Linked DNA regions of Coturnix japonica. The protein of the gene in region 1 interacts with the protein of each later gene in a pairwise test. Links are inferred from orthologs where the notes say so. Each region holds a gene or a part of one and is shown in the gene's direction. Other genes may lie near its edges.

Region 1 (4,177 bases):
TCTTACCGTGTGTCCACGACGCCTCAAGACCCGGATGTAGCTTAGGCCGCTCCCCGTTGTGCGCACGCAACATGGAGGCGGCTCTTAAGGCCGCGCCGCGAGTGCCCGGATGTTGCGCATGCGCACCTCCAAACCCGGAAGTGCCTTCCAGATACCCGTATGTAACTCAAACCCGGAAGTCCCTCCAAATCCCCGGATGTACTGCGGGTTCCCAACCCGGAAGTCCCCGGATGTAACTCAAACCCGGAAGTCCCTCCAAGTCCCCGGATGTCACTCAAACCCGGAGGTCCCTCCCAGATCCCCGGATGTACTGCGGGTTCCCAACCCGGAAGTCCCCGGATGTAACTCAAACCCGGAAGTCCCTCCAAGTCCCCGGATGTCCCTCAAACCCGGAAGTCCCTGCAAGTCCCCGGATGTACTGCGGGTTCCCAAACCCGGAAGTCCCCTCTAAATCCCCGTATGTAACTCATGCTCACTCCCAAACCCGGAAGTCCCCTCTAAGTACCCGTATGTAACTCAAACCCGGAAGTCCCTCCCAGATCCCCGGATGTACTGCGGGTTCCCAACCCGGAAGTCCCCGGATGTAACTCAAACCCGGAAGTCCCTCAAACCCAGAAGTCCCTTGTAAGTCCCCGGATGTAACTCAAACCCTGAAGTCCCTCCCAGATCCCCGGATGTACTGCGGGCTCCCAACCCGAAAGTCCCCTCTAAGTACCCGTATGTAACTCAAACCCGGAAGTCCCCTCTAAGTCCCCGGATGTACTGCGGGCGTCCAACCCGGAAGTCCCTTCTAAGTCCCCGGATGTAACTCAAACCCGGAAGCCCCTCCAAGTCCCCGGATGTAACTCAAACCCGGAAGTCCCTCAAACCCGGAAGTCCCTTGTAAGTCCCCGGATGTCCCTCAAACCCGGAAGTCCCTGCAAGTTCCCGGATGTACTGCGGCTTCCCAACCCGGAAGTCCCCTCTAAGTCCCCGGATGTAACTCAAACCCGGAAGTCCCTCCCAAATCCCCGGATGTACTGCGGGTTCCCAACCCGAAAGCCCCCTCTAAATACCCGTATGTAACTCAAACCCGGAAGTCCCTCTAAGTTCCCGGATGCAGAAGTCCCTCCCAAATGCCCGGATGTAACTCAAACCCGGAAGTCCCTCCCAGATCCCCGGATGTACTGCGGGTTCCCAAACCCGGAAGTCCCCGGATGTAACTCAAACCCGGAAGTCCCTCTAAGTACCCGTATGTCCCTCAAACCCGGAAGTCCCTCCAAATCCCCGGATGTAACTCAAACCCGGAAGTCCCTCCCAAATCCCCGGATGTACTGCGGCTTCCCAACCCGGAACCCCCCCTAAGTACCCGGATGTGCTGCGTCCCTCCATCTTAGCGGCCTCCATCGGGCTCTCCATCGTTCCCGGTGTCCGCCATGTCCATCTCCACCCCCCCCAGCAGCAACGACGCGTGTCTGAGCATCGTGCACAGCTTAATGTGCCACAGACAGGGAGGAGAGAGCGAGACCTTCGCCAAACGAGCCATCGAGAGCCTCGTTAAGAAGCTGAAGGAGAAGAAAGACGAGCTGGATTCTCTCATCGCCGCCATTACGACCAACGGGGCTCACCCGAGTAAATGCGTGACTATACAACGTACATTAGACGGGAGGCTGCAGGTGGCTGGGAGGAAAGGGTTCCCCCATGTGATCTATGCGAGGTTATGGAGGTGGCCCGACCTGCATAAGAATGAGTTGAAGCACGTCAAGTATTGTCAGTACGCGTTTGATCTCAAGTGTGACAGTGTGTGTGTCAACCCGTATCATTACGAGAGGGTGGTGTCGCCTGGGATCGGTGAGTACAATGGGGTCCTATGGGGTCCTATGGGGTCCTATTGGGGTCCTATGGGGTCCTATGGGGTCTATGGGGTCCTATTGGGTCCTATGGGTTCCTATTGGGGTCTATGGGGTCGTATTGGGGTCCTATGGGGTCCTACAGGGTCCTATGATATAATGGGGGGAGATACGCAATTTGTGTAAGGGAGGCCATAGGAAATAATGGGGGAGATACGGAGTTTGCGTAGGGGAAGTTACGCAATTTGCGTAAGGGACTAGGGAGCCAATGGGAGGAGTTACGCAGTTTGCGTAAGGGCGGGGGGTTCGATAATGGGAGTTACGGAGGTTGCGTAAGGGAAGTTACGTAGTTTGCGTAAGGGACTATGGTGGTTAATGGGGGGGGAGTTACGCAAACTGCGTAAGGGGCTTCTATGGAGTCCTATTGAGTTCTATGGGGTCCTATTGAGTTCTATGGGGTCCTATTGAGTTCTATGGGGTCCTATTGGGTTCTATGGGGCTCTATGGGGTCCTATTAGGGCCTATGGGGTCCTATTGGGGTTCTATTGGGGTCTATGGGGTCCTATGGGGTCCTATGGGGTCCTATTAGATCCTATGGGGTCCTATAGGGTCCTATGGTGTCCTATTGGGGTCTTATGGAGTCTGTGGGGTCCTATGGGGTCCTATGGGGTTCTATGGGGTTCTATGGGGTCCTATTGAGTTCTATGGGGTCCTATTGGTTTCTATGGGGTCCTATTGATTCCTATGGGGTCCTATTGATTCCTATGGGGTCCTATTGGTTTCTATGGGGTCTTATTGGGGTGTATGGGGTCCTATTAGATCCTATAGGGTCCTATTGAGTTCTATGGGTTCCTATGGGGTCCTATTGGGGTCCTATTGAGTTCTATGGAGTCCTATTAGATCCTATGGGGTCCTATGGGGCTCTATGGGGTCCTATGGGGCTCTATGGGGTCCTATTGATTCCCATTGGGTTCCTATAGGGTCCTATTGGGGTCTATGGGGTTCCTATTGGGGTCCTATTAGATCCTATAGGGTCCTATTGAGTTCTATGGGGTCCTATAGGGTCCTATTGAGTCGTATTGGGATCCTATTAGATCCTATGGGGTCCTATTGATTCCTATGGGGTCCTATTGAGTTCTATGGAGTCCTATTGGTTTCTATGGGGTCCTATTGATTTCTATGGGGTCCTATGGAGTCCCATTGCATCCTATGGGGTCCTATGGGGTCTATGGGGTTGAAGCACGTCAAGTATTGTCAGTACGCGTTCGATCTCAAGTGTGACAGTGTGTGTGTCAACCCGTATCATTGGGGTCCCATTGGATCCTATGGGATTCTATGGGGTCCTATGGGGTCCTATGGGGTCCTATGGGGTCGTATTGGGGTCCTATGGGGTCCTATCGGGTCGTATTGGGGTCCTATAGGGTCCTATGGGGTCCTATTGAGTTCTATAGGGTCCTATGATTTAATGGGGGGAGATACGTAAATTGCGTAAGGGAGGCCATAGGAAAGAATGGGGGGAGTTACGCAATTTGCGTAAGTGAGGGCTCAGGTTACGCAATTTGCGTAAGGGAGTGCGGTAGTTATAATGGGGGGGAGATACGGAGCTTGCGTAAGTGGGAGTCGGGTTACGCAATTGACGTAAGGGAATAGGGGTTTATAATGGGGAGGAGTTACGCAATTTGCGTAAGGGACTACGGGGTTTATAATGGGTCCTATTGGGTTCTATGGGTTCCTATGGGGTCCAATGAGGTCTTATGGGGTCTATGGGGTCCTATTAGATCCTATGGGGTCCTATTAGATCCTATGGGGTCCTATGGGGTCTATGGGGTCCTATGGGGTCGTATTGGGATCCTATGGGGTCCTATTGGGTTCTATGGGGTCCTATTGAGTTCTATGGGGTCCTATTAGGGTGTTATTGGGATCCTATGGGGTCCTATGGGGTCCTATTGGTTCCTATGGGATCCTATTGAGTTCTATGGGGTCCTATGGGGTCTTATGGGGTCTATGGGGTCCTATAGGGTCCTATTGGGATCCTATGGGGTCCTATTGGGTCCTATTGAGTTCTATGGGGTCCCATTAGATCCTATGGGGTCCTATTGGGGTCCTATTAGATCCTATGGGGTCCTATTGAGTTCTATGGGGTCCTATTGAATCCTATGGGGTCCTATTGGATCCTATGGGATCCTATTAGATCCTATGGGGTCCTATTGATTCCTATGGGGTCCTATTGAGTTCTATGGAGTCCTATTGGTTTCTATGGGGTCCTATTGAGTTCTATGGGGTCCTATTGATTCCTATGGAGCCCCATTGGTTCCTATTGGGTCCTATAGAGTCCTATTGGATCCTAT
Region 2 (2,784 bases), on another chromosome or scaffold:
TGAACTGTTAATGTCAGGGTCCCGGCAGGCTGAGGGTGCACTTTGTGAACACGCCGCAGGGAGGGAGCGACCAGCGGGCAGCCCTGGATCACAGGGATTGATCTGCAACGCTCACGGATGGGTGTCAGTTTGGTTTGGTGGTTGTTTTCTTTTTGCCAAGTATTGCACTGCTAATACCAATACAAAGTAATGGAAGGGTACCGACAGCAAAGTGGTGTCTAGAACCAGACAAGCGAGGTTGTGTATGTAAAGGAAATTTGAGCGAGCTGCCCTGAAGAAAGGCATAGTGACGAGATGAGAGAGAGAGAGAGACAGATGCATTGTTTGGAGATGTTTAGCCAGTGCCCTTCTTCCCTGTGAGCCGCAGAGGCTCAGAGCGGTACTGGCTTTGTAAAGGGAAAGGCCTTCATTTCTTCGTTTATCCCCCCAGCAGCGCTGGAGAGCGAGGTGGCTTCAATAAGCCTGGTGGTAAGTTTTTGAGCATTACAATGGATAGTGTTTAACGGAAAAAAAAAAAAAAAAAAGAATAATAATAATAATAAATAATAATGATAATAAAACAAACCAATTGCAGTCAGTCTGTAGAAAAAAATAAAGTGTAATTTGTCTTAGTTTTAAGTGGTTAAAAATGACGTATGCAACAAGACTGTAATGGGTAGAGCCGGCCATGCCCAGGGGTACGCGGTTACAGGTGATATGGAAGCATTGAGAAACCACTTCTGTAATTGGGGGAAAAGAAATGGTTTGGATTTGATAATTCTTAAGTAACTTTTGGATTAACCAACTGTAAAACGGATTGGCCTGGTAAAGCATTAAGACAAAAAACCAACCCCACGCAATAGTGGTTAATGGATGGAAAGGCTGCTAAAAACAGCGAACCGGTCGCCACGTAGAGGTGCATTGCTGGTGATTGTGCAGTGCGGGTCAGTTGGAGTTTAACCAGCGCCATCGAATGGTGGTTATAAGTAGATAGTGATGTGTGTGTCGCTCCTTCAGCCCGCAGGGCCTGCACTAACACTGCTTCTTATGGTTCTCTCCCGACTGGCAGGACACATGGAGGAAGGACCGGACCTTGACTTAGGTAATTGTCACTGCTCACACCCCTCCCAGGCTGCTGGCGTGGAGGTTTCTGTGCCCATCTCAGCTGGCAGAAGATGTTGCCCCGTATCTCGCCCTCCCATAACCCAAGTACAGAGGTGCTCTGCTGTTTGCAGTCTCTTTGGGGCTGTTTCATCTGATTCTCTATTCCTGGTTCATCAGAGCGCTTGGACTGGTGGAAGCCCACACGTGTCTGTGAGATGCTTGTGCTTCTCTATGGAGCCAGGGGGCTCTTGCCAAGGAGCTGCTGTGTGGCTGCCTGGAGCAGCAGAAAGCACGTTCCAGGCTGCAGCAGTCTGGAGCTTGTAGGCACTTGTCCAGCAGTCTCCTTCCTCCTTATAAGATCATAGAATGGTTTGAGTTGGAAGGGGCCCTTAAAGGCCGTCTTACCCAACCACCCCCTGCAACAAACAGGGGCACCCACAGCTCCATCAGTGCTCACAGCCCCATTACCTGTGGCTGTCTGCAGGGATGGTGCACCACCCACCACCTCAATGGGCAGCCTGTGCCACCCCCACCTGGGGCCCTTTTCTTCCTCCTGCACAGACACATTTGGTAGTTCCCCATCAGCCTAAGGAAAGAGGGGATTATAGCAGCAGGAGGGGTGAGCATCCACATGCGGGACCTGGAGGATGCAGGGGTGTGTTGTGCCTTTGGGTCTCGCTCATGCCCCATTGCAGAGGTCTTGCATGGTGCCCTGGCCATGCTGGGTGGCTGCAGCAGAGAGCTCAGCCCTTAGCACTGCTCTCTGTGCCTGGGGTTTCCTGGAGTGCCTCAGTTCTATGTCGCTTCATAAATGCACTTATTGAGAGAGAAGCTGCAGCTGGCTGAGGGGTGACGTGCTGCTGGATCGCTGCCTCTTCCACTGCCTGACCCTGAGATTTGTCTCCTAGGCCCACCTATAGACCTGGATGAGGACTTGGACAACAGCTCAGTGTATGTGCAGGGACTCAATGATAACGTGACCCTGGAGGATCTGGCAGACTTCTTCAAACAGTGCGGGGTTGTCAAGGTGAGAGGAACGTGTGTGTGCAGGTGAGCACAGAGAAGGGAGCTGGCTGCCTCCTCCCTGCCCACTGTCCCATTCAGCCCCTTCTGTGGAGCCGGGCAGCTCTGATGGGCAGTGAGATCAGCACAGCCTGGAGCTGCCCTGTAGCACAAGCTCCCCAAAAGATCCTCATCAAGCTTTGTCCCTCTGTGCACTTCCATCAGCCATGCAGAAGCAGCAGTGCTTACAGACTCAGGAAGCATCCGTCTGTGGATCTGCTGCGGGTGGGATGTGTGACAGCTTGAGCGCAGGGCGGTGGGGAGAGTGGAGGAGGATGTGGGGAGGCTGCAGCTCCATTCCTGCACTCACAGGAGCCTGCAGGAGAGGCTGCTGGGCCAGTTCCTGCTTTTGGTTGCCATGGGTGGCTGTTGGTGTGGTAAGCCAGAGGGCCATTTCTCTTGCCACGGAGTTGCTAAGTGGAAGTGTTAGCTCAGATCAAAAGCAGAACAGGGGGGAGAGCCCCCACTCGGTGTATACGGGGATGTGTGACTTGTTATAAATGATTTGATGTCCTGCTAGATGAACAAGAGGACTGGGCAGCCCATGATACACCTCTACATTGACAAAGAAACTGGCAAACCGAAAGGAGATGCCACGGTCTCTTATGATGACCCATCCACTGCCAAAACAGCTGTGGA
Region 3 (4,085 bases), on another chromosome or scaffold:
ACAATCAGGTAAGTTAAGGAAAATCAAACCATCTGGCAGATTGCTTTTCTGATAAGGACTTGCTGACTTGGATGTATAGGCGAGGAAAGAGCAGATCTGTAACACAGGTGTGAGTGCAGGCAGACTGTACCTCTTTTGTGCACATAGGATGTAACCAGACATAAGCATTATCCTAAATACAGATGCATGATAAGGCATAACAGCAGACAAAGACTTTTCTTCAAGGGCTTCAAGCTAGTTAGCTGCAGGTATATTGCAGGATGACCCTTGGCTGTGGCTGAAAATGCACACTTTTACATACTTTAAGTTAGTGTGATCTTTCTCCATCTGACCATGTTAGGCCCCATCACTGGGTCTCTTGACAGTGCTCTATGCAATTTTGAGAGTCAGGGCAGCTCCTTTTATTTTCCTCTTCCCCTGAGGCTGTGTGCCTGCTCACACTGCTTGCTGCTTTCCTGTAAGCACTTACTGAAATGAACTAGATTTGGTGCTGGCTTCTGCAGTTCGGGGAACTAAAAAGATGGTTCTCAAAAGGTTTGGTGAATTCTCCCACTTGGTCACTACCCCTTCAGTGCTTCCCAGCAAAGAAGAGGGTTGGGGTGGTTCACCACCTTTCTTCCCTCCATTCCTGTTCAGCACTCTCAGGTAGGAGAATGGGACTAAAAACAAGGGGACTTCCATGTCATTGCAAAGTCCAGAGCCTGTTTAACAGAACTTGGATTCAGAGAAGCTTTCTTCATATTCAGTAAAAAGACAGACATGAGAATAATTCTGAAATGAGTATTGCCAAAGTCTGGTGTTGCACTGGCAAGGCATAGTTGTACCAGTGCTCGAGTGCCAGGAAACAAGGCTAAATGACGTGTGTGGATGTTTCCTTGTAGTTAAAACAAATATAAAGAGCAGAAGCACCATACAGATAAATAACATTTAAAATCCGACCTTGATAATTGAAGTTCTTGCCTTTTGGGTGCTGCCTGTCAAAGAGTGTCACTTCAGACGGCCTTTGCTGCCTCCTGATGGGCCTAAACATATTTCCCATATTTCTAAATGTATTTTTCACAGGGAAGAACTGTTTCTCTCTCCACCAGCAGTGATTAGCCCATAGTTTTACCAGCTGTAGTTGATGACTAATGAGCAGAGGGATGGCAAAATGATTCTTTGAATTTTGGGGAATTTTTCCACCAAGGAGTTGTATGGAGAGGTACAAGTGCTTCTGCTTGACATTTCTCACTGTTCGGCTGTCTTGCAATGCCACTACCTTTCTAGTGTTTTTTCTTACTAATTGCCAGTATTTCCCATTCCTTTTGGCTCTGAAATTCAGAGGCTGCAGAAGTAAAAGATCACTGCATCGATCCGTTTACCTTACAGAAAGGTTGAGTGGGCGAGCTGGTGTGAAACCCAGAAGCTGTCAGAGCTGTAGCTTACAAATATATTCTTTTTTTTTTTGCTGGTCTGAATCAAAACAATGGTGTCTGAAATGTAACTTGCAAATGTTGTTTTTCCCCCCCCAGCATTACAACACATCCCTTCTTGCTGCTGCAGCTGCGGCAGTTTCCGCATCAGATGATCAAGAACTCTTACACTCTCGTTTTTTCCCATACACTTCATCTCAGATGTTTCTCGATCAGCTAAATGCAGGAGGAAGCAGTTCTCTGCCAGCCACAAACGGTAGCAATAGTGGCAGTAACAGCAGTCTTGTTTCCTCCAACAGCCTGCGAGAGAATCATGGTCATCCAGTTGCAAGTAGGAGCGGCGCGGACACGGCGTCTATCTTTGGTATCATATCAGACATTATTTCGTTGGACTGATTTTTGGAGAAAACGAACTTGTCAGAGGAAGTCTTTGTGCTTGGTTTTACTTTATGTTAGAAACATAGACAGGTTTTTTTCCTTTTTTAGGGAAAAAAATTTACATGTACAGAGAACAAAACTATATTTTCAGTTTTACTTTTGTATATAAACCTAAGATGGCCTCACTGATAAAAAAAATAACAAAATAAATAAATAAATAAATGCCACAACACAAAGCAGAACACACACACAAAAACCCACAAAAACAAGGAACTTGGATTTAATGGATGCTGAAGATTCAACACCTGTGCATTTGTCATGTGAGTTACTTATTTCTTTTGCCCTTAGTTTGGACACAAATGGCATTATTTTCTTCACAGTAACAGAAATGGGAAAAGGAACTGAACTTCTGAAGTTCAAACTTCTGGGTTGTTTTTTTTCTTTTTCTTTTTTTTTTTGCCTCTTGGAGACACCTGTATTTGGTGGTGGAATGGAATTCCCCCATCCCATTTTAGTGCAGATTTTGTTGTGCTCGATGTGGAATAAACCCTACCCAGCCTGTTCCGCACCGTTCCCTCTGTTTGCAGTACGTAGCCTTTCAGGAGTGTTTATTTGTCATTTCTTGTTCTATGTGACCCTCTGTTTGGCTGACTTTCTTTTTAATTCCGTGCTTTAATCAAGCATGTTGTGAGCTTGTTAGTGCACCAATTATTCTGGAGGGCCAGACTCAATAAAATGTCAGGCTGAGAAGTTGTTTGGCTGTGTTATGTGGGACAAGACCAAATTCATATAGAATCCAGCCCCAGAGAAAAGCATCGACACATCTGACTGTAGGTTTTTGTTTCTAACAACTTACTATGAAATCCTTTTAAGATAACTTAAGATCCTACTCACAATATTCAGCATGTGTCAGTTTGAAATGTGTGGAGCTGCTTGTGCTTTAAGATCAGCCACGCGTGTAGGACTGGCCCACTGGGTTGGGCCTGTCTCCTGGCTTGGAAAACCTCCTTTTAGCTGCAGTAGATCAAATTTCTGCTTAAAAGTGAACTTGTCAGCAAAAGGAAGAAAATACAAATGCCGACGCTCTATTGCATGGTTGGTGCAGCCGATAATGGTCTTGGTTTGCTGTCTTCTGAGTTCTCCTTCACCCAAGTTGGTATTAAATGTTTAATGTGAGTCTGTTAAGCCAAAAAAGAAGCCCAGTGCCCTTCCCTGCACTTAAATGAATCTCTGCCTATTGAAGTCTCTCTTAGGGTTGTGGGGTTCCCATTCAGTTTTCTCTTTATGGCTTGGTGGTTATTTTGATTCCCCGTTCCTTTCAGTTCCCTTCCATCACACTTGGAGCCACGTTTGCTTCCTGGTTTCGTTTCTTTCTTCACTTTTTCAGCTGTGTGTGACATAGGAAAACCTTTTTTTAAGAGCTGGTGGATCATTTGGGCTGATCCGTTCTTGTTACAGAGAAACGTGTAAATAGCTGGAATGCAGTTTTTCAGGAGATTCTTTAAAGTGAGAGCAGGGGGAGGGGAGGAGGTGATTCTGTTGTGTCCCAAAGTCCCATCAGAGAGAAGTGATTTCCTCTGGTGTGAAAGCTATTTTTGTAACTGGTTGGAAGTGCAGGTAACAGGTTTATCAGGAAAGAGAGTGAGGAATACAGAGGTTAGCAGATGCTTGTCTGAGTTTTTAATGTCCCAAGCTGCTGATTGCAGCTATAGTTGCTTTGAGCATTGACGAGGGCCACCTTTTGCCTATGAAGTTGTCTCAAAATATTGCATTAATTACAAAAAGGAAAAAAAAAAAAAAAAGAAAATAAGAAAAAAAAAAGGAAAAAAAAAAAAAAAAAAAAAAGACAAAAAAAAGCAAAAACACGTTAATCCAAGTAGCATTAGGTATTGCTGTATGATCAGTTGTATGGTTCTTTGAAAGGTTCACACGATTACGTGGCATCAAAATTGTTTCTAGTGTTTTTACAGCATCCCTCTGCCACTAAATAGTTGACTTGAATTTTGGAAACAAATGTTTGTGTTTATATGTATATGTGTGTGTATATATGTATTTATAGATCTGTGTGTGTGAGTTAAAAGTGAGTTAAATAGTTTTTCCCATGCATGTGTATTTCATACATATCTGGCTGATATATATATATATATATATATTTCACCATACACCAATTTTATAATTTATTAAATGTCAGTTAAAAAAAAATAAAATAAAAGGATAGAAAATGGGAAATACTTATTTTTTAAACTCAGTCTGATTTCAAAGTGATTAAACCTACATGAGGAATATGTCTCATAC
Region 4 (3,500 bases), on another chromosome or scaffold:
AGCCCCGAGCTGTGCAATGGGCTCCACTGTGCTCTAAATATATAAATAAATGTATCCGTCAAATAGATTCACCGATGGCTCATGTCAATGCTTTATCTCCATGGGATAAGGCTGTGGAGGCAGGCGCTGCTCTGCGCAGTGCTGTGCTGCCTTGGGAGTGTTGGTCCCCCTGCTGAGGATGTCGGAGGGCAGAGCAGAGGCTGCTGTTTGCTTTGGGTTCATTGCAAAGAGAATCCGCAAAGTATTCAGGCACTTTTTCAAGTCCAAGTCTTGCTCCGAGGGACCGCAGAGGCTGAGCAGGGAGGGCTCATTGCTGAGAGGTAGGGGCTGTGTTTGGGTGTCTGTTGGTTGCTGTTGTTAATGAAGGGGGGTAATGGGGTTCCATAGAGCACAGCTGGAAGTGCTTCATGCCTCAGCAGGGAAGCTGCTCCATTAAGAAGCAATGGCTTTAGAGCATCACCCACCCAGTGGCTGCTTTGTGCTCCTGTCCCAGCTTGGTGCAATGGCTGGGGTTACCCTATGAAGCTGGACAGCTTTGAAGAGCATTATATCAAAGGATGCCAATGGCACACAGGGCTGGGCAGGGTGACTGCAAGCTGCGCTTAGGCAGATGGATGAGCACCCAGATGGGGTTCAGTTGCACATCCAATGTTATCACTCTGATAAGCTTTATCTGCATGCAGAGGGAAGTTCCTTTCAGCTACTAAAGTTTCTTGCTATGTTGTGATCAGACTCGAGGGTTTTCTTTACTTAAAGAAGCTGTTTCCAGCGGTGGCTTTGTTTGACTCGAATAGAAATGATCTCACGGCCGCAATGGAGGCATCCTGCCCCATCACGTGGCTGCTTCCCAGGGCTGTGCTGGGCTTCTAAAATTAGTGCTGCCCACCAGATAGTGGTGATTAGGGCTGCTAATAGGCGGCGGTGACTAAGGAGGTGTCATGCTGTAATCCTAAGGGGGAAATGCCTGGCTGTGATGGGGGTGGACTCAGTGATTTGTGGTCTGTATTTCACACTACAGACTGCTCCCCATTGTGGGTGCTCCATCATTCCCATCCTACATGCCGTGCATGGGGACATCTGAATGTGATGCCTTTGGGGGCTGCTGTGTTGGTTGCTCAGGTGGGGCTGCAATCACAGCCTGCTGTGCTTGGCACCTTGCAGCATAGAGCTGGCAAATGTCCCACTGAGCAGCTGCTCCAGCTGTTTGAAAGGTCATGCATTGCATTACCATGCAACTGCTTGGCTTATCCCTCATTAAAATTAAGAGGGGGGAAAAAAATCAATCAGAAGACCCCCTTGCTTGCCTCCCAGCCTTGAGACAACCAGCTGGAAATGGTAGGATGGCAGCTGGTGTCAATTGAATGCTAAGCAATCAATGGTTCCTCTGAGGGAGATACTCAGGCACTGCGTGAATGCTCTGCTCCTGCTTGGGAATTCCTTGATAGGGGCAGAGATCTGATTCTATGGGATGTCACTTTGCTTTCTGCAAGTCCAAGGGGTTCAAAAGCAATGACCCAAGTGCCCAAAAATAATAGAGGGAAAGGCAGGTTTTCTTGTAGAGGGGGCCTCTGCAATGCTGAGGGTGTTGGTTTTGGGGAGGAGTGGGTGCTGGGTGGCCAACAGGTCAATGACTGCACTGGAATTGTGGGTTGTGTAAGAAATAATTGATTGAATGCTGTTTGTGGGGCTGTTAAAAATTAAAAGGGCTGTTGGAGTGGGGGGAGCACTCAGAGGGGCTGGATGTGGCTGCAGACAGCACCCATGGGTGTTGGTAGAGCGCAATGGGGAGGACATGGGGCTTCTGGCTGCTCTCCCATCACAGCACGGCTCTGTTCTCTCCCAGATTGCAGGTACACGTGCCATCAGCAATGCTGCAGCCTCGTCCAGCTGGACTGCCGCCGGCCTGACCCCGGGCAGCTCTCTCCTGTGGGCACCATTGTGCTCCCCTGCAGCCAGGTATGCCCTCATGGTGGTCAGCCTCTTTCCCAAAGCCCATTTCTTTGCTCTTAGCAGGGTGAGATTTCATTGCAGAGGTCGGCCCGTGGCCCTAATTGATGCTTGCTAATAAATTCCCTGTGCATCTTGCTTCTGTGCCCATCATCTGAAAAGGGAATAGGTGCCAGAATACACTGGGGAAATGGAGAACAGCACACTGGAAGGGTGGGAAATGCCGTGGCTGGTGTAGTTGGCAGCCAGTAAATAGTATTATCAAATGTAAGCAAAGCAGGAGCATCGGAGAAAGTTAGTAAAGTCCTGTTGGCACTTCATACCAAGCATTAATAATATGGGCCTTGATCCAGCAAAGTACTTAAGTGTGTTGTGTTTAGGTCCCAGATTGCTCTCCCTGGGTGCAGTGCAGCCAGCACAGCCTCTGCCTGGCTCAACCCTGGGGCTACAGCACCTTGATGTGGGATTTCCTACAAGAACAAAGGATTTGAATCATATTTTCAGCCTTGATGTCACCAAAGGTGATCTCCAGCTGACCCAGCTCTGCACCTGACACAGCACTTGGTTCTGCTCATGCCCTGCACGCTTGATTTAAGCCTATTTCTCTTCTAATTATGACCCAGCGCTGCAGAGGAGAAGAAAAATGCATTCCCTGTCTGCAAAGCTTCTAAATATTTGCGGCTTGAGCATAACTAGAAAGCAGCCTGGAGCCTCCTTATCTACACTGGCGGATGGGAGCAGCCCCGAGCTGGGGTCTGTGTCAGGCTGAGTTGTGGAGCATGAGTTTCCATCCCCCTGCAGTGAGGGGGTTGCTGCAAACGGGGTCAAGGAGCTGGGCAGCATTTCCTTGGCTTGTACCTACACAGCTCCCAAAGCATCTGCAGAGCAGATGGACCTTCACTGCCCCCTGCACAGCACTGCAGGGCTTGTACCCCTTCCCCACCTCTTTTTGGATGCAGCGCATCTCTGCGAGCATCCCTCGCTCCAGCCTGTGTTTGGGATGCAGGGAAGGAGCAGCTCTCTTTCTAAGCTCCACATCAAGGACACGTTTCCATTCAGCAGCACCACGGGAGGCTCCGGGGCTGCCCAGCGCTTCAATCCCTGCTCTAAGGGTGAGAGATTTTGCAATGAGGAAGCGGGCGCTTTGCGCAGCAGGAAGGGGGAGGCAATGCTGCGCAGCGAGCTGGGGGCGAAACGACACGGCGGCCGCTCCATGCTGCACAGAGGAGGAGGAGGAGAGAGAAGGGTTACCCGAACTCAGGAGCAATCGCTGCTGAGGATGAGCAGCAGGAGATGCAGATGAGAGCCAGGCAGTGCGGGATGTGAGCGCTGCGGAGCCGCCTTCGATGAGCCATCGGCGGCAGCATGAGCAGCGGGTACTGCAGCTTGGATGAAGACCTCGAGGATTGTTTTTTCACTGCAAAAACCTCTTTCTTCCGCAGCGCGCAGAGCAAGGGACCCACCAAGGTAACGGCTCAGCAATGCAGAGAGGAGGGCTGTGCGATGCGGGAGGTGGTGGTGAGCTCTGTGCACGTTTGGCTGCAGGTGCTGCT
Region 5 (3,500 bases), on another chromosome or scaffold:
TGCTGACTCAAAGTGTTCTGTTTCTTTCATCTTGCCTTTTCTCATCCCTAGTTTTGGATTTACGTTTAGACAAGTCCCAAGTCAGGACTGTATGACCATGTGGGGTGCTAGAACAAAATGTACTCTGATGGTGTCACCATAGAAACGTTCGTACAGTATTGAGCTGCTTCAGCCAAACCAGCACATGTTGCAGTTCTTAGAAATTGTCTGAGTAGATTGGCCCCCAGATTCTGAGTTTGGTTTGCAGGTTAAATCTTGCATACAAATAGGGAAAGCTTTAGTGAGTAATGAAAATCTGATCAAATAAGCAGCATGTATGATTATAAGTTTTGAAACTGCTTTTCCTGATTAAGTCTGTTGCCTTTTTTCTTTCTTCAAGTAAACATGGCTGAACTCTACTGAAGGGTCTCCCAGAAAACTGGGAGAAATTGCAGACTTGTGTTGTTTTTTTCCTTAGAAGCGTTAGTGTAGAGGTACATACAAATATCTATTTACTCAGCAATCTGTACATTCCAGAGTTACTCCTGAATCGTAGCTGACCAGAAGGAACTGGAGGCTGGAATGATTGACGCTTTCTGTGATTGCTGTGATGGCACCTCTCGGCTCCCCCATCAGCTCCACAGCATGAGAGTTTAAGTGATGTGCCAGAGCTCTGCCCTGCTTTCAGTGCTCGGTTTTTTTCTTAACATATTTGATTAATGCAGGCTTAAAAAAGAGGGGATTACAGGCTGGTGTATGTTTATTTCAAGAAGATAAGCGTTAGTGCATTGCATGGCCATGTGTATCTTGTGAACTGCGAATGGATTAGGAGTAGGAATATATGTTGCCTTTACTTTCATTAATGAAATGCATGAGGTATACATCTTCACTGTGTGTATCTTAATAATCTTTTAACAAGTTTTCTTAGCCTTAAGGCAGTAGGGGTAGTGGAGAAGTGTTGAATGAACCATAGGCATCAAAGACCAGAGGAAGTGCATTGTTGTAAGCCTACAAGTAACTGGATTTACCGCTAGACAGCTGAAAAAGAAAATGGTTTGCTCTTCTTTCTTAAGTTCTTATTGGGGGAGGAAGGGGTAGCTTGCTTTAAGCTTCTTTCCAGTCTGACTCCAGAGACATCTGGTATGATCCAGCACTCTCCTTCCCTTGAGTATTTTGTTTTCTAATGGTAGGCTTTGTCCTAAATTGGAACTGGTTTGTTATTGGTTTTGTTGAATAATGTGACTTGGTGTGGCTAAACATGGAAACACTGCATGTTAAGAAGCAAGTAATAAAAATATTCTACTCAGTCTGTTATAATACATGTGCTCTGTGTACAGCACTGATGTCCACATATTTTATTGTTTGAAAAATAAAAAAAAAAAGGTAAAAAAAAAAAAAGATAAAATGTTGAAAACTCATTTCTCCTTTCCTGTTACAGAGTGGTAGAACAAGAAGCTCAGAGATCGCAGCAAGTTTCCCAGGACAGAAAAAGTCCCAGCAGAACAAATGGCTGCAGTGAGAACAGGCCTATTGACATCCTGGAAATGCTTAGTAAAGCCAAGGTTGAATATGAACGGGTAAGGAAATATGTTTATTTTCTTGCATTATGAACAAATAAAAACACTTGTTTATTTGGGGGTTAAGGCCTCATATGGACACTGGCAAAGTGCATTCCTTGTGACCTATGAGAGCAATGGTAGCGAAGTATTCTTGTATACTGGATTGTACTGCGTAGTATGCTGTCACCTAAGATTGCAAAGTAGCACATGTAATCCATAATTTATTGGGCCTGTAATTTTATATGTTTGAACTGCTGGATCATGGAGAAAAAGCAGGTACCTGGGAAAGCAAATGCAACAGATGCATTTTTTTTCTAAAACTGGATGTAGAGGCTCCATAGTATCACTGTTCATCTACTGTCATGTCTTGAGATCAGTCACAAAGAAAATGTGAACAACTATGTAACTCTGTAGAAGAGTAGATGACTGTGCCTGTTTTTGTGATCCTCTGAATATTCCTTAATAGTAGCTGACACTTGTTTTTTTCATTTTTTTCCTCTGTACTGAAAATCACTGGAGGAGGTTTGCTATTATTCGTGCCATAATCAACAGCGTTCATTAGGTTGCAAACCAAATTGCTTTGGCTTTAAGTAAGAGCTCAAAAGCTGTGTACTGTCCTATGCCTGTGATAGAAGCCAAGAAGTACAGTGGCCTACAGGGAAGGGTTTATATTGCCCAAGAAATTCTGAAAGCATTTCTTTCTAAGCCTAATAATACAAAAATATACAAAAGTAATTTATAGGTGTAATGTAGCAGAAATATGGTATGTGTTTTTAGCTCTATTGGTGGGGGAAAAGGTAGAAGCATTTCAGTGCTTCATTTCTAGTGCCGAAACTAGAGTAAATGCAAGATCCTCATACAATTCTAGGTTGCTACAACACATTGTGGAATGAGGAGGGAGGAAAGAACACATGGACTAAGCCACGTGCAAGCCAACTTCTATTCAGTTTCTCATGTAGTGTGAGGATAGATTAATGTGACAGTCTATAGACTGTAGTTGACCTGGGCTAGATACTAGTTTGTGAAGATCACATTTAAAGAAGTGGAATGTTTTTTTCTTATTAAAGGAGAAAAAAATCATGCAGGATTTCAGCTTTTCCTTTCTTAATTTTCTGGTCTTATGTGAGTTTTGGAAGCTTTTCCCTAGAAACAGAATTCCTGAGCATAATGGATGAAGCTCTGCAGAAAGGTAAAATGCTGATAAATAGACAGTGGCAGCTGTCACGCAGTATGGAAATACACAGATGTACTACATATGTGACTTCTTTGCCTCTCAATCTTGATTGTCCTGCCTGATGCTTTTAGAGCACCTTTGTAACTAGAAAATCTTTGCTTTGTACGTGTATGAGCTGAAAAGTGAATCTGCTGAAGTTAATCCCTTAACCTGCTATGACTGCAGTTCTGTACAAGTTGGTAGTTAAATAGAATCAAGCAAACTTCTTGGAGAATGTTCTACTGACCGCTCCAGGCAAGTGAACTTAGGAATTCCTTGTAAGCATCATACATTATTGTTAATGTGATTGGGTAAAGCAACTTGAAGATGGCTTCTTAAGATATCCTTTTTTGTCTAAATCTTTTAAAAATTATTTTATGGCACTCATTAATTACAATTGAATTTGTATTTAGGAGCAGAAAGTACTTATCTGCATGGTACATTCCAGATGGATCATACAGTAATCCTTGTGTGCAGCCCACATGAGATTGGCGGAGTGTCAGCATGAGAAGGGGGCAGAGAGAGTGAAAAAGAGATTTATGAAGGTCTGAGTGATTTAATCTAGGATTCCAAATCAGCTTAATCCTTCAAGTACTTGCTCCATCGAGGCCATATGTGAAAATGAATGAACTCCGAGATTTTTTTTTTTAATGAAGTGAATGGATGCTTTTTATAGTGTTTCTGTGTGTATTTCATTCTGAGAATGGAAACATTGCAGATTATCCTCTTGTGAAGGGAAACACTGTGTT
Region 6 (4,249 bases), on another chromosome or scaffold:
AGTGCTAATTTCTTTCAAAATAGCTCTGTCTGTTCTTGCAGTTATTTAAAAATAGCTGTGTTTGGATTTTCTAGACGAGTTACATGATGAAGCAATGCAGATATGGCAGTGCTCCTTCCAGATCTCGTGCACTATTGCTTGGATGAGAGCAGATCATAGAATCATTGGTCTTTTCCAGTCTGAGCGATTCTTAAAGATCATAGAGTCCATCCATGACCTAACCATACTACCCGAACTAACAACCCTCCACTAAATCGTCTCCCTGAGCACCACACCCAAACAGTTTTTAAACACATCCAGGGATGGTGACAGCCACCTCCCTGGGGAGCCCATTGCAGTGCTTAACAACCCTTTCGGTAATCTAAACTTACCTTGGCACAACTTGAGGCCATTTCCCCTCATCCTGTCACCAGTGAGAGGAGACCAACCCTGCTCTCACTGTAAGCACCTTTCAGATATTGGAAGGGAGCAATAAGGTCTCCTCTCAACCTCGTTTTCCCCAGACTAAACAGCCCCGGTTATTATTGGTGCTAATGAACAGATCTTAACGGGGAACTTGTGTCCTATTCTACTTATGTGAAAGCTGTGTATTTGTCTAACGTTCCCCTGCCTGTAACCCCTCCCTCACTTCACCGCTTCTCCCTCCCCTGAATTTCCAAATCTGCTTGATCTCCAGGAGCAAACTTAAAAACCAAAACAATAGCAGCATGAACAAAATTACTGAAAGGATTCTAGATGGTTCTGGAAGAAAAAAAAAATAATCTGTAACAGTGATGCAATACATTATGTAAGACTTAAGTATGTGAATTCTGGGCTTTACTGAAGTTCTTTGGTGTTCCTGACTTGTGGTTTGGTGTTTTTCTTTGTTTGTTTTGTTAGCAGCTTCCTCATTTCTACCTTCATTTTTCCCCACCCCCCAACTAAAGCTGTTTTATTGATTAACTAATGTTTCAAAAGAGCCACTACTGTAAAAAGGTACAGATACTTTTGTTTGTTTGTTTTTATAAGAGAAAAAAAAAAAGGCTGATCTTCAAAATTAATCCCTAATACTTGTCAGGTCTAGCCATGATTTGGCTCTGTCTATGGCTGTTAATGTGTGACATGGATTCTGAACTGCCCGGAGTAAGGGAGAATTTGGAGTATGTGATACAAATTCTGGATTGCAGACCTAGCAATGCTGCGTCTTTCAACATCCAGCGGGTCTTTGTTTATTTTTGCTTTCTTTTTGCAGCTACTCAGAACACCACTGGTAATGTTGCAGCCATGCATTAACCATTTTCTGCCTAAGAAACCTTTTATCTGGCCCCCCTCTGCCTGTGCAGTTTGTTGCAGTGTAGTGAAGAGGGAGGTGCTCTGCTGTGTAAAAGCTTTATCCACTGCTGAGTTGTCACTGAATGGCTGGTCTTGAGTGCACATCGCAGCCATCTTAATCACATTTTCAGTGCAGCTCAGACAGTGCAGTTTCAAAATGGCTGACAAAGTGTTCATTGCAGCAGTTTAGCTTGATTGTATGCAAATGAGCAGAGCTGATGGCATCACATGCTTCAGACCTTGGAGGTAAGCGCCAGTTCTGCTTTGCTGAGAAGCAATTCTATCATTTTGGCTGAATGAAATTTGGAATTTTAACCTGGAAAAGTGTGATTTTTTTTTTTCTTTTTTTTTCTTTTTTCCTTGTCAGTAGGAGGGTGGTTGTCATGTTGTTGCTTTACCCCTCTCATTGAATTAGTTCATAGATCTCTTATCTTTTCTCAGTTACAGGGTAGATGGGGTGGGGTTGAAGAGGTCAAAGGTCACACATATATCTTGCTTAACAAGTGATTTAATTGTGGTTCGCTTCCTTACCAGGCCAGAAAGAGCTCTTACTTCATGCTACTCATTTTTCAAAATCTTGCCACGTTTTATATTTTCATCTTATATTTATTTTATATTTTATACTTATTATATTTATTTTATAAAATAAACTCTTTATCAAGTAGCTAGATTTACATTTGATACTGTATTTTCAACAAGTTAATTTTTTCCAATGTTAAATTAAAATTTCAAAACCTGCATAAACACATTGGAATAGCAATAATTATGTAAATATTAACTATTTTGCAGGTAACAGTTAGTTATTAGTCAAGAATAAGAGCTGTATAAATCTTGCAGAACTGCTACAAATAATAAAGTGAAAGATATAGAGTAAATTGTTCTTTTCTTATATGAAATCTGAGTTTCAGAGTTCCAGTGGCTTCTTATGACCTGGGTGTTTTCTGCATGTTACTCATTGAAGGTCGCCTGGGTATCTGTCATGCTGAAACTTAATTAAATGTAGGTGATAGGTGTTGGTGTCCAAGACCATGAAAACAGGAGAAAAGCAGTGTTCAGATTGAAAGAGTAAGAGAAAGGAGATACTTTTCCACATTAGTAATTTATTATCTTGTTTGCATCGGACTAAATTACCTAATTAAGGTTTTCATGGGGTCTTAAGCTATATGTGAGTTAATTTTGTAGTAATTAAATAGGAAGTTACTTGAAGTTCTCATGAGAGATCTCAGAAGTAGCAGAAGAGCTGAGTAATTCATCAGTATTTATGAGTGACTACATAGTATTTTTCTTGTCTGAAGGTGAACTTAATGCAAAAATTGTGAAAGTCCATATTAAATGCTTAAAAAAGTTTATTCCTTCAATATTTTTGCATGTTGATTCATGTTTTTTTGTTTGTTTGTTTCTTTTTACATGTCTTGTTACAAAGTACTTTGTGGTTAAATTAGTTCTGAAATATCTGTTTACATAAATGATCTTCTAATGTTATTGGCAATGTACCATTTTGAAAATAATGAAGTATTTTGAGCAAATGGTGCATGTCAGGTTCTCAGGAGACATTGCTGCATGCTTACCTTTGTATCTAATACAAGAACAGAAAGTGATTTTTTTCACAAAAATCACTAAAACACAGGAATTTAAGGGTGGATTGATTCTTGACTTCAACTAACTGTAAACTTCGTAAATCTAGTTCCTGTAAGAGATTCCTGCTTTAGAATAACAGGTAAGTGATAGCAATAACACCTACGTGTGATTGCAGTTGAAGCTGACAGGTAGTCCTATTACTTGTTTTTATTACTCATACAATTCTTTTCGGTCATTCTTGACTTAAATGTTTATAGTGGCCTTTCTTGATTGGATAAGGTAGTTAAAGACACAGAAATAATTTGGGCATGTCGGAATGTCTTGAGAATTTGGTCAGTAAGGCCTATTTAAATCTAGCTAAAATGTGCCTTATTTATAATAAATGCATGCTAGTAGTGTAACAAGACTTCCATCTTCCCATCTCCCAGAGAGTCTCTGATTTCCTGTAAGATAATGACTCATGTCATCCTGACCCCATCTTACAAAAGATTGCTGAGGTTTCTGTTTGTGTAGTTTTAGCTGTTAATTGTTTCCAGTTAATTCCAGATGTTAATAACTCATTCTTTGAAACAAAAAGAAGGAATCCATTCTTTATGATAACTGAATTGCTACTTTGTAAACACTGAAAAGGATATTTTGTCTCAAACATGCTTTATTGCATGTATACGTGAAAATTGTCAAGAAATATTGACTCTGTTTTCTGCTGTTTTGTTAACCCCTCTTTTAGAGGAACACAAAAAGGGAAGGTGGCGTCTTTTTTTGGACTTTTGTTGTAAGGATTGGTTTTTAACATGTGTTAGGCTTTGGTACAGCAGTGTATATTCACATCAGCTCTCTCATGCAGTTCTTTTTGTGCCTTTATTTTTTTATTTTATTTTTTTAAATTTTTTTGGTGTTTTATGTCAGCTTTATGTCAGTTAAGTAAGTTAACTTCCATTTTACAAACAAAGCAAAATGGACAGAGATTACCAGGGTTTAGAGGAACACCTTGTCTCCACAGTGTTTGCCAATTCCTTTGATCTTTGGTTTACTTTATAGCAGGACATTAAAAAGTGTTATCATTTTTGGAGTTGCTGTAGGAAATAACTGGTTCAGAAGGGAGCTATGGAGTGTTTTGTAGTTGGGTGGGTTGGGTTTTTTTCCTTCAGTGAAATGGACATTGGAATGCATGCAATATGTTAGGTCCTGAAATCAATGTTAACATGGAACTTCTGTTTTCAGATGTTTTGAGTAGACAGTAATACTGGTAGCTGAAAAGATTACTCTTTTTCCCTTCCTCCCACATTTTCAGTATTTTTATTTGTTCTTTCATAGTTGAAATACATTGATTACCTAAATGGAAGCACGGCACTCTAATGGA

Evidence for each region.
Region 2: the proteins of SMAD4 (region 1) and EWSR1 interact in binary tests that used the Homo sapiens proteins (3 or more experiments, as listed by UniProt). The link is inferred for Coturnix japonica from reciprocal best matches to the Homo sapiens genes SMAD4 and EWSR1.
Region 3: the proteins of SMAD4 (region 1) and PIAS1 interact in a two-hybrid assay, tested with the Homo sapiens proteins (2 studies listed by BioGRID and IntAct). The link is inferred for Coturnix japonica from reciprocal best matches to the Homo sapiens genes SMAD4 and PIAS1.
Region 4: the proteins of SMAD4 (region 1) and RASSF5 interact in binary tests that used the Homo sapiens proteins (3 or more experiments, as listed by UniProt). The link is inferred for Coturnix japonica from reciprocal best matches to the Homo sapiens genes SMAD4 and RASSF5.
Region 5: the proteins of SMAD4 (region 1) and DCP1A interact in binary tests that used the Homo sapiens proteins (3 or more experiments, as listed by UniProt). The link is inferred for Coturnix japonica from reciprocal best matches to the Homo sapiens genes SMAD4 and DCP1A.
Region 6: the proteins of SMAD4 (region 1) and ATF7IP interact in a two-hybrid assay, tested with the Homo sapiens proteins (2 studies listed by BioGRID and IntAct). The link is inferred for Coturnix japonica from reciprocal best matches to the Homo sapiens genes SMAD4 and ATF7IP.

What each region holds. Positions count from the first base shown.
Region 1 is NW_015439872.1:57,627-61,803, forward strand, and holds the start of SMAD4 (mothers against decapentaplegic homolog 4), read left to right. Parts: upstream 1-1,377; 5' UTR 1,378-1,415; coding exon 1,416-1,830; intron 1,831-4,177. UniProt on the Homo sapiens protein: In muscle physiology, plays a central role in the balance between atrophy and hypertrophy. When recruited by MSTN, promotes atrophy response via phosphorylated SMAD2/4.
Region 2 is NC_029530.1:9,960,591-9,963,374, reverse strand, and holds part of EWSR1 (RNA-binding protein EWS), read left to right. Parts: intron 1-430; coding exon 431-468; intron 469-1,048; coding exon 1,049-1,081; intron 1,082-1,991; coding exon 1,992-2,110; intron 2,111-2,665; coding exon 2,666-2,784. UniProt on the Homo sapiens protein: Binds to ssRNA containing the consensus sequence 5'-AGGUAA-3'. Might normally function as a transcriptional repressor. EWS-fusion-proteins (EFPS) may play a role in the tumorigenic process.
Region 3 is NC_029525.1:17,355,773-17,359,857, forward strand, and holds the end of PIAS1 (E3 SUMO-protein ligase PIAS1), read left to right. Parts: coding exon 1-8; intron 9-1,511; coding exon 1,512-1,808; 3' UTR 1,809-3,585; downstream 3,586-4,085. UniProt on the Homo sapiens protein: Functions as an E3-type small ubiquitin-like modifier (SUMO) ligase, stabilizing the interaction between UBE2I and the substrate, and as a SUMO-tethering factor. Catalyzes sumoylation of various proteins, such as CEBPB, MRE11, MTA1, PTK2 and PML.
Region 4 is NC_029541.1:2,738,722-2,742,221, forward strand, and holds part of RASSF5 (ras association domain-containing protein 5), read left to right. Parts: intron 1-1,843; coding exon 1,844-1,956; intron 1,957-2,971; exon of another isoform or gene 2,972-3,312; coding exon of another isoform or gene 3,313-3,414; intron 3,415-3,500. UniProt on the Homo sapiens protein: Potential tumor suppressor. Seems to be involved in lymphocyte adhesion by linking RAP1A activation upon T-cell receptor or chemokine stimulation to integrin activation.
Region 5 is NC_029527.1:4,968,262-4,971,761, reverse strand, and holds part of DCP1A (mRNA-decapping enzyme 1A), read left to right. Parts: intron 1-1,417; coding exon 1,418-1,556; intron 1,557-3,500. UniProt on the Homo sapiens protein: Necessary for the degradation of mRNAs, both in normal mRNA turnover and in nonsense-mediated mRNA decay. Removes the 7-methyl guanine cap structure from mRNA molecules, yielding a 5'-phosphorylated mRNA fragment and 7m-GDP.
Region 6 is NC_029516.1:44,491,715-44,495,963, forward strand, and holds the start of ATF7IP (activating transcription factor 7-interacting protein 1), read left to right. Parts: upstream 1-1,449; 5' UTR 1,450-1,510; coding exon 1,511-1,557; intron 1,558-4,249. UniProt on the Homo sapiens protein: Recruiter that couples transcriptional factors to general transcription apparatus and thereby modulates transcription regulation and chromatin formation. Can both act as an activator or a repressor depending on the context.